Arabidopsis thaliana: one gene and its partners. The protein of the gene in region 1 purifies or fractionates together with the protein of each later gene. This does not show direct contact. Each region holds a gene or a part of one and is shown in the gene's direction. Other genes may lie near its edges. The genes, in order: AT1G18130, AT5G02680 and AT3G02760.

Region 1 (5,081 bases):
TGACCCTTCGTGAGCTTATTGTCTATCCTATTAATGAGCCTATGCGTGAGTATTGGCAACCAATCGGCTCCACCATCACAACTGATGGGTAAAGACGTACGACTATACTAATTATAATGTTTTCTCTTCTTGTTCTCTTGTCTTTTATTTATAAATAACTAGATAAGACCCGCCTAAATAGGCGGGTGTAAGATGTAAATGTAATTTTTATCGATAATATTTAAATTTTGAATAGTAAAATAATAGTCGATACATTGTTCTTATAATTTTGAATAGTAAAATAGTAGTCTTATGCATTTTATTTTGTTATACCCATTCAGTCTTATTGATGATATTTGAAGTCTAAATAGTAACCTACACACTTTTTTATATTATAATTTAGTATTTAGAAGAAAAAATAAATTTTTATCTTATACATTCAATTTTGTAATACAATTTAACTATCTATTTCATAAAAAACTCGATTTTAATTCTACACACTTCATCTTACTTGATAATGATTTCATGTCAAAATAATATATATATATATATATATATGAGATCAAATCTATATCTTAGTTAATATTAAAATTATTAACAATTAACAAAACATAATTCATAATAATAAAACATTTGCTAATACCATATATATTAAAAATTTGACCAATAACATATATAATTTTTTTTTTTTGTTAATTTTCCTTTTGGTTAAGAAAAATAAAATGTAATATTTTTTAGATATAGACATATGAATTAGTATATGTTAATAATGATTTATTTTTTAGTTTTCTATTTCTTTAAGAAGAAAAAAGTTAATTGATTTCTTTTTAAGTATTTCTATTTCTTTAAGAAGAAAAAAGTTAATTATTTTCTTACACATGTCAACATCTGATTGATAGATTTGACACGTGGCAAAATCGTATGAGTTAGTAACTTTGAAAACCATACTTTATATAATAAGATATTAAAAATTATTAACAATTAACAAAACATAATTCATAATAATAAAACATTTGTTAATACCATATATATTAAAAATTTGACCAATAACATATATAATTTTTTTTTTTGTTAATTTTCCTTTTGGTTAAGAAAAATAAAATGTAAGATTTTTTAGATATAGAAATATGAATTAGTATATGTTAATAATGATTTATTTTTTAGTTTTCTATTTCTTTAAGAAGAAAAAAGTTAATTGATTTCTTTTTTAGTATTTCTATTTCTTTAAGAAGAAAAAAGTTAATTATTTTCTTACACATGTCAACATCTGATCGATAGACTTGACATGTGGCATAATCTTATGAGTTAGTAACTTTGAAAACCATACTTCATATAATAAGATTTGTCGTTTACAATAATATAAGATGCATGCTTGTTGACAAAAGAAAGCAAGTTCGAAATATGTTAGAATAGAGCTATTTTAAAGGTTTCTTCTGGATCGTTTGAAATATACAAGATCGTTCGAAGGCACAATGCTCATCTTTTCTGTAGAGATATATCGTTTGCAATATACAAGATTGTTAACCTAATTAAGCTCATATTTGATAAGTTGAAGTGTTCGACAATCTTCTTTATTGTTTCCATTCTTGTCTTTTCTTCCTTTATTTTATTATTATTTTTTCTATAGTGTCTAATCTTTTTTCTTTCTTTACAACAATTCTGTTCCATTTTATTTTAGGGGTTTAATTAGAAAATTTGGTATTTTAATAATTATTTTTTAGTTGAAATATTTTAATAATGAATTAAATGAGTACTATTTTATAAAATGTTGAAAAAATACCTTAGATATATTTCCCAATATGTATAGATATAATTATATCTTTATGTTCTTTTTGGGGCAAAAAATCTACATTTTCTATACTAATCGTTTATTGCTTTAATTATAATAAACTATAAATGGTTGTTATGAAATAGTAATAACTTGTTAGTTTCATAATAATTTAAAGTTAATATATTAAAATATCAAAAATTCCTATTTGTTGGGAAAAAAGACACCCCCATGGCCCATAGTACGCTTCAAAATTAAAAACAAGGTCTCCCTCCCTGAAACTCCAAAGTCCGAAACTAAAACCTATCGACGTCCGTCTCACAACTTTTTACAAATTTCTCATCGTCTTCGTTCTCTGCTGCTCCACCAATGTCGAAGAATCATCCCGATGAGGATGAAACAAACCTATCCTCTGCCGTGAACCTCAATTTATAGGATGTATCTTTGAAAAAACATTCAGAATTTTTTGGGCCCTTTTCAATAGCATTTTTTTTGACAAAGCGCAATGTTAAATACGAGGATTGGGGCTAACCTTCACCAGTTTGACGAGCTTGTGTGGATTACGTAAGCGTACCTCGCGGTTTATGTCGAAGAATAGTTCCTTAGTCACATACATCCCTTATTTGGCGTTTGCGAGTTTCTTGCAATAGTAAATTACCGTCTCAACGGCAGAGCCGGTCTGTCATGCAAAAATGCCTTATGAAAATAAACAAATTGTGTCTTTTATTTGTTTGCATAATCACAAATAATAATAATATATAAAAGTTATACTAAAACTTTATAGAACATTTTTTATAACATTTTATAAGCGTTTTGTAAGTAAAAAAGAGGGAAAAAAACAAAATTATATTTTTAAATATAGCTCTATTTAGATTTTTGCCTACAAAACTATTCATCAAATTCACGTAATCGAGTTTTTCAAACATTGTTGTCTTAATGGATAATAAAGTCAATTCATTTCTTTGATTAATCAAAACAATTTTTTTTGTTATGTAAACAAAGTTCAACCACTTTACATTAGAAAGTTGAAAAATTCTTTCTAATGCCCTTTTCATAATGCCCCTTTTCAACTCTACCCTTTTGTTTTATCCATTTTCATTTATACCCTCTTTAAATTTTTAATGACCATTTTACCCCTATTTAAAAATTATTTTAGGTTAACAAAATAAAATATTAATATTTTTTCGTCTAAAATATTCTAAAATAAATTTCCCGCCAAAATTTTCCCGCAAAACTTTTTCGAAAAAAAAATTCCCGCCAAATTTTTTTTTCAAAAATTTCTTTCCCGCATTTTTTTTTTTGGCGGGAAATAGATTTACAAGGGATTTTAAAAGGGTTTTAAAAGATTTACAAGGGATTTTAAAAGGAGTTTTAAAAGATTTACAAGAGATTTTAAAAGATTTACAAGGGATTTTAAAAGGTTTTTAACAGATTTACAAGGGATTTTAAAAGGTTTTTAACAGATTTACAAGGGATTTTAAAAGGGTTTTAAAATATTTAAAAGGAATTTTAAAGGGCTTTAAAAGATTAACAAAGGTTTTTTTAAAATTTTTAAAGGGTTTAAAGTGTTTTAAAAGATTTATAAGGGATTTTAAAAAATTTACAAAGGTTTTTTAAAGGGTTTAAAAGTGTTTTAAAAGATTTATAAGGAATTTTAAAAGATTTACAAGATATTTTTAAAGGGTTTAAATGAGTTTTAAAAGATGTACAAGGGTTTTTAAAAGATTTTCAAAGAATTTACAAGAAGATCCTTTAAAATCCATTGTAAATCTTTTAAAACCTTTTTTAAATCCCTTGTAAATCTTTTAAAACCCTTTTAAAATATCTTGTAAATCTTTTAAAACCCTTTTAAAATCCCTTGTAAATTTATTTCTAGCCAAAAAAAATTTACAAGGATTTTTAAAAGCATTTTTTCGGCTGAGAAAATATTTGTTACGAAAAAAAATTTGGTGGGAATTTTTTTTTTAGCGGGAAAAAAGTTTGGCGGAAATATTTTTTTGGCGGAAAAAAAAATTTTTGGCGCCAAAAAATCGGCGGGAAAAATAATTTTGGCGCCAAAAATCGGCGGGAAAAATAAATTTTGGCGCCAAAAAATTGGCGGAAAAAATTCAGTTTCCAATTACATGTTCCTATTAGATGAGGGTAATATAATCATTTTGTTCAAGGGAAGGGATATTTTTAAAAATGAACAACATAATAGGGTATTGTTACAAAATGGTAGTAAATAAATGGTAGTTTTACAAATCTCCCAATTTTTTATTTTTAATCAAAGTTTTAGAATTTAACGTTTTATTTTTCTTAAATAAACTAAACTAAATTCATTAAGAAAACATTTTATTAATTTAAAGATGTTAAAGAAAGATAGTGAATGAAAAGCTTAACAAAAGTAAATATATAGAAAATGCCTATATTTGTTTTTATTTAAAACATAAAAGAAAGTGCCTATATTCCAGTGTGCTACTATACAGGTTTGGCTCCCAAACTCTTTTTTTTTTTTTTTTTTCTATTCCCTGCATTTCTCTTGGCAGTTTATTTAGTGTGTCGTTTCTGCTGTTGCCTAATATCAGGTTGATTTTCACCTTCGTGATCGCTTCAAACTAGAATATTCAGCTGAGAATGAAACTATGATAGAGAGATCTGTGCTGATACATAGAGCGGTGTTGAGCTCTGTTGAGCGTCTTTTTGCCATATTGTTGGAACAGTACAAAGGAAAATTCCCCTTCTGGCTTAGTCCCCGCCAGGCCATAGTTTGCTCTGTTTCAGAGGATTATCGTTCCTACGCAGACAAGGTTATACATTCATGACTGTACTCTTAACGAGTTTACTTGCAGAGTCTTATTATATCTCTCTTCCTAATTTCCTTTGTTTGCGTATATTCAAACAGGTGAGAGATCAAATTCACGAAGCTGGCTACTATGTTGATGTTGACACAACGGATAGAAACGTCAGTGACAAGGTAACTGTTACAAGGTCCCTGAGCACAAACCATTGAGGTTTATGTTCCCGTATACATTTTGAATGATGATTGTGGTTGTGAGTAGGTGCAAGAAGCTCAGGTTGCACACTACAACTACATACTAGTCGTGGGTGATGAAGAGGCTAGAACGGGACAGGTTAGAATCCAGTTTTGCTCATTCCATTAAATGTCTGTGCATCAAGCCTCTCTCACAAACATGGTTTTTGTTGTCAGGTGACTGTTTGGCTTAGAGACGAAATGATGAGCATCGAGACTCTGTCGGATGAATTCAAATTGAAGACGGCCAACTTTCTTTGAGACCCTTTTATTTGTGTCTAGTGATCATAAGAACGTGGATATTTGGAAAATATGTTTCTA
Region 2 (5,081 bases), on another chromosome or scaffold:
CAGAATTTTATGTAGCACATATAGATATCCTAAGTAAGCTGACGGATGACGACGACATTTTAGCTTCCATTGGTAATCTCTTCTCAGGGGTCCTAGAAGAGGTTAGCTTCTAACAGCTCCTAAATCTTCCTTTTTTAAACCTGTTAAACCCTTTTTTAACCTAGGACAATTCCTTTTGCTGCAGGTTGCTGAAACTGACTCTAGTATCCTCTTGATTGAAAAGTCAAGGATTGCTCTACTTGGTGAGCTCAACCAACTAGCGTTTTTTGACTACAGATCTTATGTTGCTAGACACCTCAAAAAGTTTCTGTTAACCAAGCTCTGAGTGAGAGAGGTTTTTTACCATATTTGATTTGTGTTTGAGTGAGAGAGATATGTTCATTTTTCACTTTTTACAAACCAACAAGTTTAGAGTTACCAAATATTGATTTCTGACTCAAAAATAACTTGGTCTCTGTGAATGTGTGTTGTTTTTGCTGCTGGTTTGGATTAGTGCTCTTGCTATAGCTTTGAAAAGGTCTCGTTATGATGATCTTCACTGAAGTTACACGACTCTATAGCTAGCTTGGAACTATGCTTGAAACAGTTGATTTCATTTGTTGTTTAATCTCAAAACTATATCTATATATACATATATGAAGCTACGGATATTTGAAAACATATACAAAACACTAGGACCAACCTAACAAGTCTTTAGAGAGTCTGTCTCCACTGATCCAACCCTAGCTTCCACTGTTGAGATTCTTCAGAGAGAGTCTGTCTCCACTGATCCAACCCTAGCTTCCACTGTTGAGATTCTTCAGAGAGAGTCTGTCTCCACAGATTCAATGTCCGGAGCATTTCTGGTTCTGCGCTGTAATCCCCAGTAAAAGACAATAATGTGTGGCTGCTTTGTAATAGGTTTCTCTTAGTTCCCAGTTTCCACAATACATAGATATCTTCCCAGATTTCTCCAACCAACAGGTCTTTGTCACCTTCTTGCTTCTGTTGTTGCTAGCACACTCACCATTCTTAGGCAGCTGAGATGCTTTCAAAACCGATGACTGGATTCTGCCAACTGGTCCCTGGAAGCAGGAAGCTGTTGAGATTCTGCAGAGAGAGTCTGTCTCCACAGATTCAATGTCCGGAGCATTTCTGGTTCTGCGCTGTAATCCCCAGTAAAAGACAATAATGTGTGGCTGCTTTGTAATAGGTTTCTCTTAGTTCCCAGTTTCCACAACACATAGATATCTTCCCAGATTTCTCCAACCAACAGGTCTTTGTCACCTTCTTGCTTCTGTTGTTGCTAGCACACTCACCATTCTTAGGCAGCTGAGATGCTTTCAAAACCGATGACTGGATTCTGCCAACTGGTCCCTGGAAGCAGGAAGCTGTTGAGATTCTGCAGAGAGAGTCTGTCTCCACAGATTCAGTGTCCGGAACATTTATGGTTCTGAGCTGAAATCCCCAGTAAAAGACAATAACATTTGGCTGCTTTGTAATAGGTTTCTTTTAGTTCCCAGTTTCCACAACACATAGATATCTTCTCAGATTCTCCAACAGGTCTTGTCACCTTTGTAATAGGTTTCTTTTAGTTCCCAGTTTCCACAACACATAGATATCTTACCAGAATCTCCAAGCAACAGGTCTTTGTCACCTTCTTGCTTCTGTTGTTGCTAGCACACTCACAATTCTTAGGTAGCTGAGATGCTTTCAAAACCGATAACTGGATTCTACCAACTGGTCCCAGGAAGCTTCCATTGTTGAGATTCAGTGAGGTGTAATCCCCAGTAAAAGACAATAATGTGTGGCTGCTTTGCTCTGATGGGTTTGGATCACAAAAATGCCATAGACTTCCTGTATTTCAATAACATGTGGAACAAAGCAAAGGCTACAGTCACAGACTATGAGACAGAACACAGAAGATTTCGTATCCCCAAAGAGTTGAACCAAAAGATGGGAAGTGGGTAACTTGATCAGAAGACAACGGAAACGTGACTTAACCCAACCACTGAGATGTTCCTGATTAGCAGCCGAGAGGTGTACATGTGTTTGCATACGGATAGAGCTCAAACAAAATTCTTCATTCTCTGCAGAAGCCTGAGATGTTCTCCACGCAACCTGCATCATCTGTTGCAATTTCCAATAAGCTAGTTAGCCTCTGTGAAGCATTATGTCGAATAGGTGATATGCAACATTTTTGTTCTTGACACTTGGTGACCTCCTCATAGTAATCCGAGCCAATTCCGATGTGGGTTTTTCTTCGTGGTGAATAAAGAACCTATCAATGCCAAAACCAGAGAGTAAATCATCAAAAATTAGGACATGTGATTGTGACTGTAATCGAAATCCAATGGTGAAGAAAACAAGTCCACGATGCTCCTTGAAAGATCGAATTCTCAATCTTCTGTTGTTGGAGAACACAAATCTGTCGCTAAGGTCAAAGCTTTTTCCTCCTCCTTCGATTGCTGTTCTAGACATGATGAATCAGAGTCTGTAATCGTTACTTTCTGTGGCTAGGAGCAGCGAATCCTGACCGTTGGATTGGTTTTTCTTTTTCTTTTTAATGTCCGTGATATTATTGTCTGAAGAAGAAAGAGAGACCAGTTTTGACTTTTGACTTCGAGTAATGAGAAGAAAAAGCACAGTGAGATTGCTGTTCTTGACGTTGAGTCAGAGTCTGTGGCTAGGAGCAGCTTCTTTTGTTTTTTGAATCGACAATGGTTGAGGAATAAACGAAATCCTGACCGTTGGATTTTTTCTTTTCTTTTCTTCTACTTAATAATGTCCGTGATATTATTATTGTCTAAAGGGGAGACCCGAGAAAGAGCGAGACCAGTTTTGACTTTTTGGACATTGTGTGTTTTCGATTCGATCTTTTTTTTCTGAAGGTATGCTTTTGAATTCGATTTTTTTTTTTTTTTCTCGAGATCTTTGCTTCGTGGTGTTTCCTTTGGACTTCGTTTGGTGATATTTCTGGGTTTCGTCTTTTGACGTTTTTTTTTTCTTCTCGATGAAATGTTTACTCAGCTGCCAAATTTCTCTGTTTGATATTGAGTGAGAGAGATTTGTTACTTTTTACAAAATCAACTAGTTTTAGGTTACCAAATTTGGTTTCGGTTTCGATGCTTAAACAATAACTTGGTGTAGTCGGTCTCTGTATGAATGTGTGTGTGTGTTGTTTTTGCTGCTGATTTGGATCTGTGCTTTTGTTATAGCGTTGAAAATGCCTCGTTATGATGACCTTTGAACACGGACTCGTTATATGCTAATTTGGAACTTTGCTTGAAACAGTTGATTTTTATCTGGATTTACATTTGATGTTTTATGCTTTTATCTCAAAACTCTGTATATATGAAGCTACGGATATTTGACCTCTGATATCCTATTTTGAAGTCTCAGCCTTGAGTGCACCACCTGCATGAGGATGTCATGAGATTTTTTTTTTTAGTGGTTTTTGAATCTTGTAACTACTAGTTGTTTTGGAGAAATTATGAGATTGTTCCTAAAATGTTTGGTAGCCCTTGTAATAAAGGTGTCAGCTTTGCTCTTGGGAAATGTTTTCGTTGGTCTTAGATGTTGGTAAATGCATGTTGCAGTTAACAATGCTGGTACTATCAATAAGAACACCAAGATTTGGGAAGTCTCTGCTGAAGATTTTGACAATGTCATCATGGTTAAAGGAGTAGCAAATGTGGCTGCGCCATTTTATCCCTTTGATGTTCCCACGGAAGCAAGAAATTACTGTAAATATGTCTTCTGGATGGTGGAAGATCTGGTGCTGCCCTGGTGAGTTTCATTGTGACTGTAATCCCCTTCATAGCCTGAAACCTCTACTCTGGTGCTGCCCTTGAAGACTTTGCCTTTGTCGTAAGTACTTCCACTTCATAGCCTGAAACCTCTACTCTTTCTTTTCCAGTGTGACTGTGATCCCCATGGATGTCTCTGTCCTTGAGGATCTTATCAGATAGAACACACAAAAAAGGTCTGTTTGGTTCTTGTCTTTTCTGAAGCTATATCCTCAAGGTCTTCTTAAGAAAGGTTTATCTTTTGTGAATTTGATTGTTTTCAACTGCTCATTTTTTTGTTTGTGCAGGTGATGGTTCCTTCTACGTGGCTTGGCACTGGGGAAAATTGGACACTGATGAAGACAATCAGAAAACTACGAAGACGGTCAGTTGATGTTTCACCATAGCTGAGTGTTTCTGTTTGATTTGCTTTTTTCTTCCATTTCTAGAAAATGAGGACATGTGTTTTGTATGGGTTTTCAGGAAAGTTCTCCAAGAGTTAAGGTGTTGGAGTGTTTGGTAATGAAGTAATAGATACAAATATACCTGTCCAAGTATGGAGATACTACTTGCTGACCAACAGGCCTGAAGTAACTGATCGCTGCCTTCTAGGTGTTTCTTCGTTCATCATAGGCATGCATAAACGTGTAAATGTCACCAACACTGGTTTGCTCTGGGGACTCTGCCTTCTAGGTGTCTGACACATTGTTTCCATGGAATGATTTGCAAGCAAAACTGAATGGCGAGTTTCTGAACAACCTAGGCAACTCTGTTAATCGAGCTCTGAGTTTTATAGCAAAGCACATGATAATGCAGGTTGGTTATACTTACTTTCAAATTCAATATTTTTAAGTATTTGGTGTTACCTGTAGATGGCTTTTTAGTTTGGCATATCCAAAAGAAAATATGGGATCTGTTGTATTCTTTTATTCAAACCAGCCAGTTGGTGTGTGCAAGTGAGAGATATTTGAATCGCAGGACATCAGACTATTGTAAAATGTTTGCTTGCGATTTTTGGTTTTCAATCTTTTTTTTGAACAAATAGGTAATTTAAAAACTTGAAAATGATAGAAAGGTGCATCTGGCTTGCAAGAGTCTTTACTATTATGATTATCCTGCTAAAGCTAATGTAACGCTCTCTGATAAGATTCCTCTCTTTGTAAGCTTATATGGACATGGAACGATTAACTGATAGAACATATAAAGATCGTTATACATGTATATGTATATCTGTTCATTCATACACTCTAGTGGATGGTCAAATGTTTGCATTTGGGATAGCATAAATGATCAAATTCTCTTAGAAACAGTTGA
Region 3 (5,081 bases), on another chromosome or scaffold:
TACATATGCTTGCTTTGAAGTCTAGATAAGTCAAGTGCTGTATACAAATGGATCACAGGCGTGTGACTGGGCATGGCTATGTCATATCTAGAATCACATTTTTGAAGAGAAAATTAATTTCAAAAATATGGGAGGTTAGATCATAGGCTTGATTCTAGAGATTTTCTTGCACATGTTGGGTGTTGCTATGATGATGGGATGCTCTCGTGATCGTAGATGGTTGGTGGGTTTTAATAATCTGGCTCATATGTCATCTGACTGGTTTCTTCTCGTTTGAACAGCAAAGGTCAAACACAAAGGTTACGTTCCCTCTAGTGTGGACTAACACTTGTTGCAGCCATCCTCTTTACCGTGAATCAGAGCTTATCCAGGACAATGCACTAGGTGGGTATCTACTGGCAAAACAATTTAGTACTTCTTTTTACTATCTATGTAGAAAACTGTAGCTTTTCTCAACTAGTGACCTCACTGTTACTCATCAGGTGTGAGGAATGCTGCACAAAGAAAGCTTCTCGATGAGCTTGGTATTGTAGCTGAAGATGTACCAGTCGATGAGTTCACTCCCTTGGGACGTATGCTGTACAAGGCTCCTTCTGATGGCAAATGGGGAGAGCATGAACGTAAATACCATTTCTCAAGACTCTTGGTTCCCATTTTCTTGAACAGAATAATAAAACCTTAAGCTTCTTCTGTGTTGGCCTTCCTTTTGCAGTTGATTACTTGCTCTTCATCGTGCGAGACGTGAAGGTTCAACCAAACCCAGATGAAGTAGCTGAGATCAAGTATGTGAGCCGGGAAGAGCTGAAGGAGCTGGTGAAGAAAGCAGATGCAGGTGAGGAAGGTTTGAAACTGTCACCATGGTTCAGATTGGTGGTGGACAATTTCTTGATGAAGTGGTGGGATCATGTTGAGAAAGGAACTTTGGTTGAAGCTATAGACATGAAAACCATCCACAAACTCTGAACATCTTTTTTTAAAGTTTTTAAATCAATCAACTTTCTCTTCATCATTTTTATCTTTTCGATGATAATAATTTGGGATATGTGAGACACTTACAAAACTTCCAAGCACCTCAGGCAATAATAAAGTTTTCGTTTTTATCTTAATTAATGAATGAATGTCACAAAGTTTGTGAGATGTACAAAAAGCGTCGAGGAAAAGGATAACAAGGAAACAGAGTCGAAACCAGAGAAAAGGCAACGCAAAGATTCCTTTTTTCGAAGCTTAACGACAACCCACCTTCCATCTGATTTAAGTAAAGTTAAAAGTCACTAATTTAATATTATTGAACGACCGAAACAAGTATGTTGATGACTTTGTTCTCCTTTAAATTATCATCACTTCATTTCTCAGAGATTTACGCACACAGAGTTCTCTTCTTCGTCCTAGTTTCTTCTATTCCAGGTAAATGAAATAAGATTCGATCAAAACCCAGATGGATTTTGAAATAGTTTTCTTGTGAATTGAATGAAAAGTGTGTATCTTTCCTTCTGGGTTTTGATTGATTGACTGAGAATATATATGATCACTTTATCTAGACTAATCTCGATTTGTCTTTTGCTTTCTGTGTTTGAGTAATTTCTCGTAAATCTCATATAATCAAATCCCCAGATTACTTGTTTTGATCATAATTCTTGATTCAGGTGAGAAGAAAAAATGGCGTTTGTGACCACTGCGGAAGTGTGTGACGCGAATCAAGAGATGATTCGAAGTGGCCAGCTCCGAGCTCTGCAACCCGTTTTTCAGATTTATGGTCGTCGTCAAATATTTTCAGGTCCAGTAGTTACTGTTAAAGTCTTTGAAGACAATGGCTTAATCCGTCACTTCCTCGAAGAGAAAGGTATTAATGATTCTTGCTTATAAAATTCAAAAGACTGAAACTTTACTCGTAGAGCTATGAACTTTCAGAGTATCTTTGACATGGTTTATTGGTATTGTTACATTTTAGATTCAATTCTTGTGTTACTTACTTGTCAAATAGTTTCAATTGTTCTTTGCTTGAAACTATGTTTGAAGAAGTCTTAAGATCATCTCTCTATGATTTAGAACTACTGCTCAGTGTTTATATACTTCTTCAGTCACTTTGCTAATCAAGTTCTTGAATACTAGAGACGAGATAGGTCTTTCAAAAACCCGAGTCAATAAACCAATCTGTTCTCTGTAGCATTCACATCAAAAGCTCAATAATGTTTTAAATGTTAAAACAGGCAATGGTAGAGTTCTTGTGGTGGATGGTGGAGGGAGTTTACGCTGTGCGATACTAGGAGGAAACCCGGTCGTACAAGCGCAGAACAACGGATGGGCAGGGATCATAGTGAATGGATGCATCAGAGACGTTGATGAGATCAATGGTTGCGACATTGGAGTGAGAGCTTTAGCTTCTCATCCAATAAAGGCTAGTAAGAAAGGACTTGGTGAACAAAGAGTCTCTTTGAACATTGCAGGCACTCGGATATGCGATGGCGAATGGCTTTATGCAGATACTGATGGTATCCTTGTTTCTCAGATTGAATTATCCGTTTAAAAGGACACAAGTGATGTTGTTGATTTGTTAAAATCTGTAAGCTACTACTTTTGTGCTTTGTGTTTCTGTAATGGCTATCAGAGTAAAAGTTGGCTTCTTTGAATATGATTATTGAACTATTGAATCCGTTTCGAGTTGATAAAAAAAAACATTTCGTAAAGTGAAAATTGCAAAAAGATCCTTGAAGTATCCATACAAGCATTTTTCGTAGATCAATTTCCAATAACTGGATACTTCGAGGGTCATTTTGCAGTTTACCAATTTTCTAAATCCGCCTTCTTGCAATTTCACAGTGCTTCGTTTTAGGTCAAACACAACGAAAGACAGAAAACCCTAATCACTCCGGCTTCAGCTCTGTGTGTGATAATGGCGGCGGAGAGATCGTCCATCACTCTCGGAGGGAAAGGTTCTTCTTTATCTTCTTCCTCCGTTTACAATGTTGCTTCCGGCGTCGCTAATGTTCGAATTGACTCTTCTGCGATCGAGAGATTCTCCACTAGAAACGTTCCATCGATCAAAAGGAGCTCCTTTGGTATCCCTCAAGGGTTAACGAACGAAGAAACTCGAGCTTCTCTGGCTGTTCTCTTAAACAAGCTTATTTTGTCGACTTCTGGTCCTCCTTCTTCATCCACCGCTCGTTCTGTTCTTCCGCTTAAGATTGTTGAGATTCTGAATTTGAAGGCTGAGAGTTTGGAATTGGGTGAGATTGATGTGACAGAAGGGGAAAACATTGTGTTGGAGAAGTCGTGTGCTTCGTTGATTGGGATTTGTTCTATTATAGATCACAAATCGACGACTCTTTCACAGATTGTGGATTCTGTTGCTGCGTTGAGTTGTGAGGTTACAAAGGCTGATATAGCTTCGTTTAGCTTGTTGGATTCAGGAGATGGGAATGGTGATAAAGATGTGATTGGTGTTGCTGGTGATCTCAAGGTTTTGCTTAACGGGTATAAAGGTACAGGGAAATTAGAAATAGAAGAGATTTCGAAAATCCCTTGGATTCATGGGAAATTCAGGTATGTGGTGAAAAGCGTGCACGCGGATGCTAGGAGAGAATTGAATTCCGGTGTTAAAGGAGGCAAAACTGGGTCTGGAAACACTGGGATTGGTGAGGCTTTAGGAACAACATTGTTACCTTTGTTAACGGCGATTAAAAACTTGGGAGTGTGTTCGTTCCTTCGTGCTAAGCTTTGTTTTGAGAAGATTGTGGATGAGAATCTGAAGAAATGTTTATCTGAAAAGATCTGTGTTGAGAATGAGAATCTAAAGAATAGCTATAAGTTAGCTTATACTGCTCATTTGGAAGAGGATTACTGCAGGTTTGCTCACAAACTGAATGAGTGTCTGGGAATTGTATGGAGAATTGTTGGTTTGGAGGCAGTTGCTGCCTTTTTTGCTCTTGCTGGTGGAGAATTGTTTGTTCAGAAGAGCGGAGATGCGGACAAAGAAGAGTCGAAGACCGATAAGAAAAAGAAGAAGAATGAGAAAAAAGCAGTTGTGGGAAAGGGGACAAGCCTAGTTATCCAGTTTATCAAAGATAGATTGGTGAGTAATGACGCAGCAAGTGATGGTGACCAGATGCATTCATTGATGCAATGTGGGGAGCAAATCTTAAATCTTTTCAACCCAGAGGGTCGCAGTTTTGATAGCTTGTTGGATAAAGTGAAAGAGATTGTAGAAAGTAATGAAAATAGGAGACTTCCCAAGCTTCCAAAGGTAAATTACAATCTCGTATATGGAGAAGGTTTAGGCCTCAGAGTTAATTTCTGATTTGTTTCATTCTATGACAGGGAACTCGAGATTTCGCTAAAGAACAAATGGCAGTCCGAGAAAAAGCCTTTTCAATCATACAAAACGTTTTCAAGAGGCATGGTGCAACTGCACTTGATACTCCTGTTTTTGAATTGAGAGAGACCCTTATGGGAAAGTACGGAGAAGACTCGAAATTGGTTTATGATATTGCTGATCAGGTAGAACTCTTCTTGGCTGCTGTAATATCATCAGTTTATGTGATGATTTGTTTGTCAAAATTTGAGCTCATATGGATCTATTAATTGCAGGGTGGAGAGCTTTGCTCTTTACGATATGATCTAACTGTTCCATTTGCACGGTATGTGGCTATGAATGGAATCACATCATTCAAAAGATACCAAATAGCAAAGGTGTACAGAAGGGATAATCCATCTAAAGGGAGATACAGAGAGTTTTATCAGTGTGATTTTGATATCGCTGGTTTGTTCGAACCAATGGGACCCGATTTTGAAATTGTCAAGATATTAACTGAACTCCTCGATGAGTTAGAAATAGGAGATTATGAGGTAATAACTTAAGTTGAAAGTCTTAATCTTTCCTGGTTGGTTTTTTCTTTGGCTATGTTCTTAATTCTGGTTTGTTTAAATAGGTGAAACTGAATCACCGCAAGTTGCTTGATGGAATGCTGGAGATATGTGGAGTACCACCTGAGAAATTCAGAACCATCTGTTCGAGTATCGACAAGCTAGACAAGCAATCGTTTGAGCAAGTGAAGAAAGAAATGGTGGAGGAGAAGGGCTTGTCT

What was found.
Region 2: the proteins of AT1G18130 (region 1) and AT5G02680 fractionate together in Arabidopsis thaliana (co-fractionation; one large-scale study listed by BioGRID). This does not show direct contact.
Region 3: the proteins of AT1G18130 (region 1) and AT3G02760 fractionate together in Arabidopsis thaliana (co-fractionation; one large-scale study listed by BioGRID). This does not show direct contact.

Annotation. Positions count from the first base shown.
Region 1 is NC_003070.9:6,233,779-6,238,859, forward strand, and holds AT1G18130 (Class II aaRS and biotin synthetases superfamily protein), read left to right. Parts: upstream 1-2,116; coding exon 2,117-2,164; intron 2,165-4,314; coding exon 4,315-4,536; intron 4,537-4,631; coding exon 4,632-4,703; intron 4,704-4,788; coding exon 4,789-4,860; intron 4,861-4,937; coding exon 4,938-5,021; downstream 5,022-5,081.
Region 2 is NC_003076.8:602,147-607,227, forward strand, and holds the start of AT5G02680 (methionine-tRNA ligase), read left to right. Parts: upstream 1-2,771; 5' UTR 2,772-2,870; intron 2,871-3,578; 5' UTR 3,579-3,768; intron 3,769-3,898; 5' UTR 3,899-3,918; coding exon 3,919-3,964; intron 3,965-4,075; coding exon 4,076-4,152; intron 4,153-4,250; coding exon 4,251-4,286; intron 4,287-4,460; coding exon 4,461-4,583; intron 4,584-5,043; exon of another isoform or gene 5,044-5,081. Other genes in the region: AT5G02660 (ubiquitin carboxyl-terminal hydrolase-like protein, putative (DUF627 and DUF629)), read left to right, coding at 1-101, 185-325; AT5G02670 (uncharacterized protein), read right to left, coding at 825-1,145, 1,267-1,437, 1,607-1,836, 1,974-2,100, 2,191-2,460.
Region 3 is NC_003074.8:598,460-603,540, reverse strand, and holds the start of AT3G02760 (Class II aaRS and biotin synthetases superfamily protein), read left to right. Parts: upstream 1-2,757; 5' UTR 2,758-2,890; coding exon 2,891-4,240; intron 4,241-4,314; coding exon 4,315-4,494; intron 4,495-4,584; coding exon 4,585-4,842; intron 4,843-4,925; coding exon 4,926-5,081. Other genes in the region: IPP2 (isopentenyl pyrophosphate:dimethylallyl pyrophosphate isomerase 2), read left to right, coding at 282-384, 483-620, 713-963; AT3G02770 (Ribonuclease E inhibitor RraA/Dimethylmenaquinone methyltransferase), read left to right, coding at 1,657-1,840, 2,208-2,524.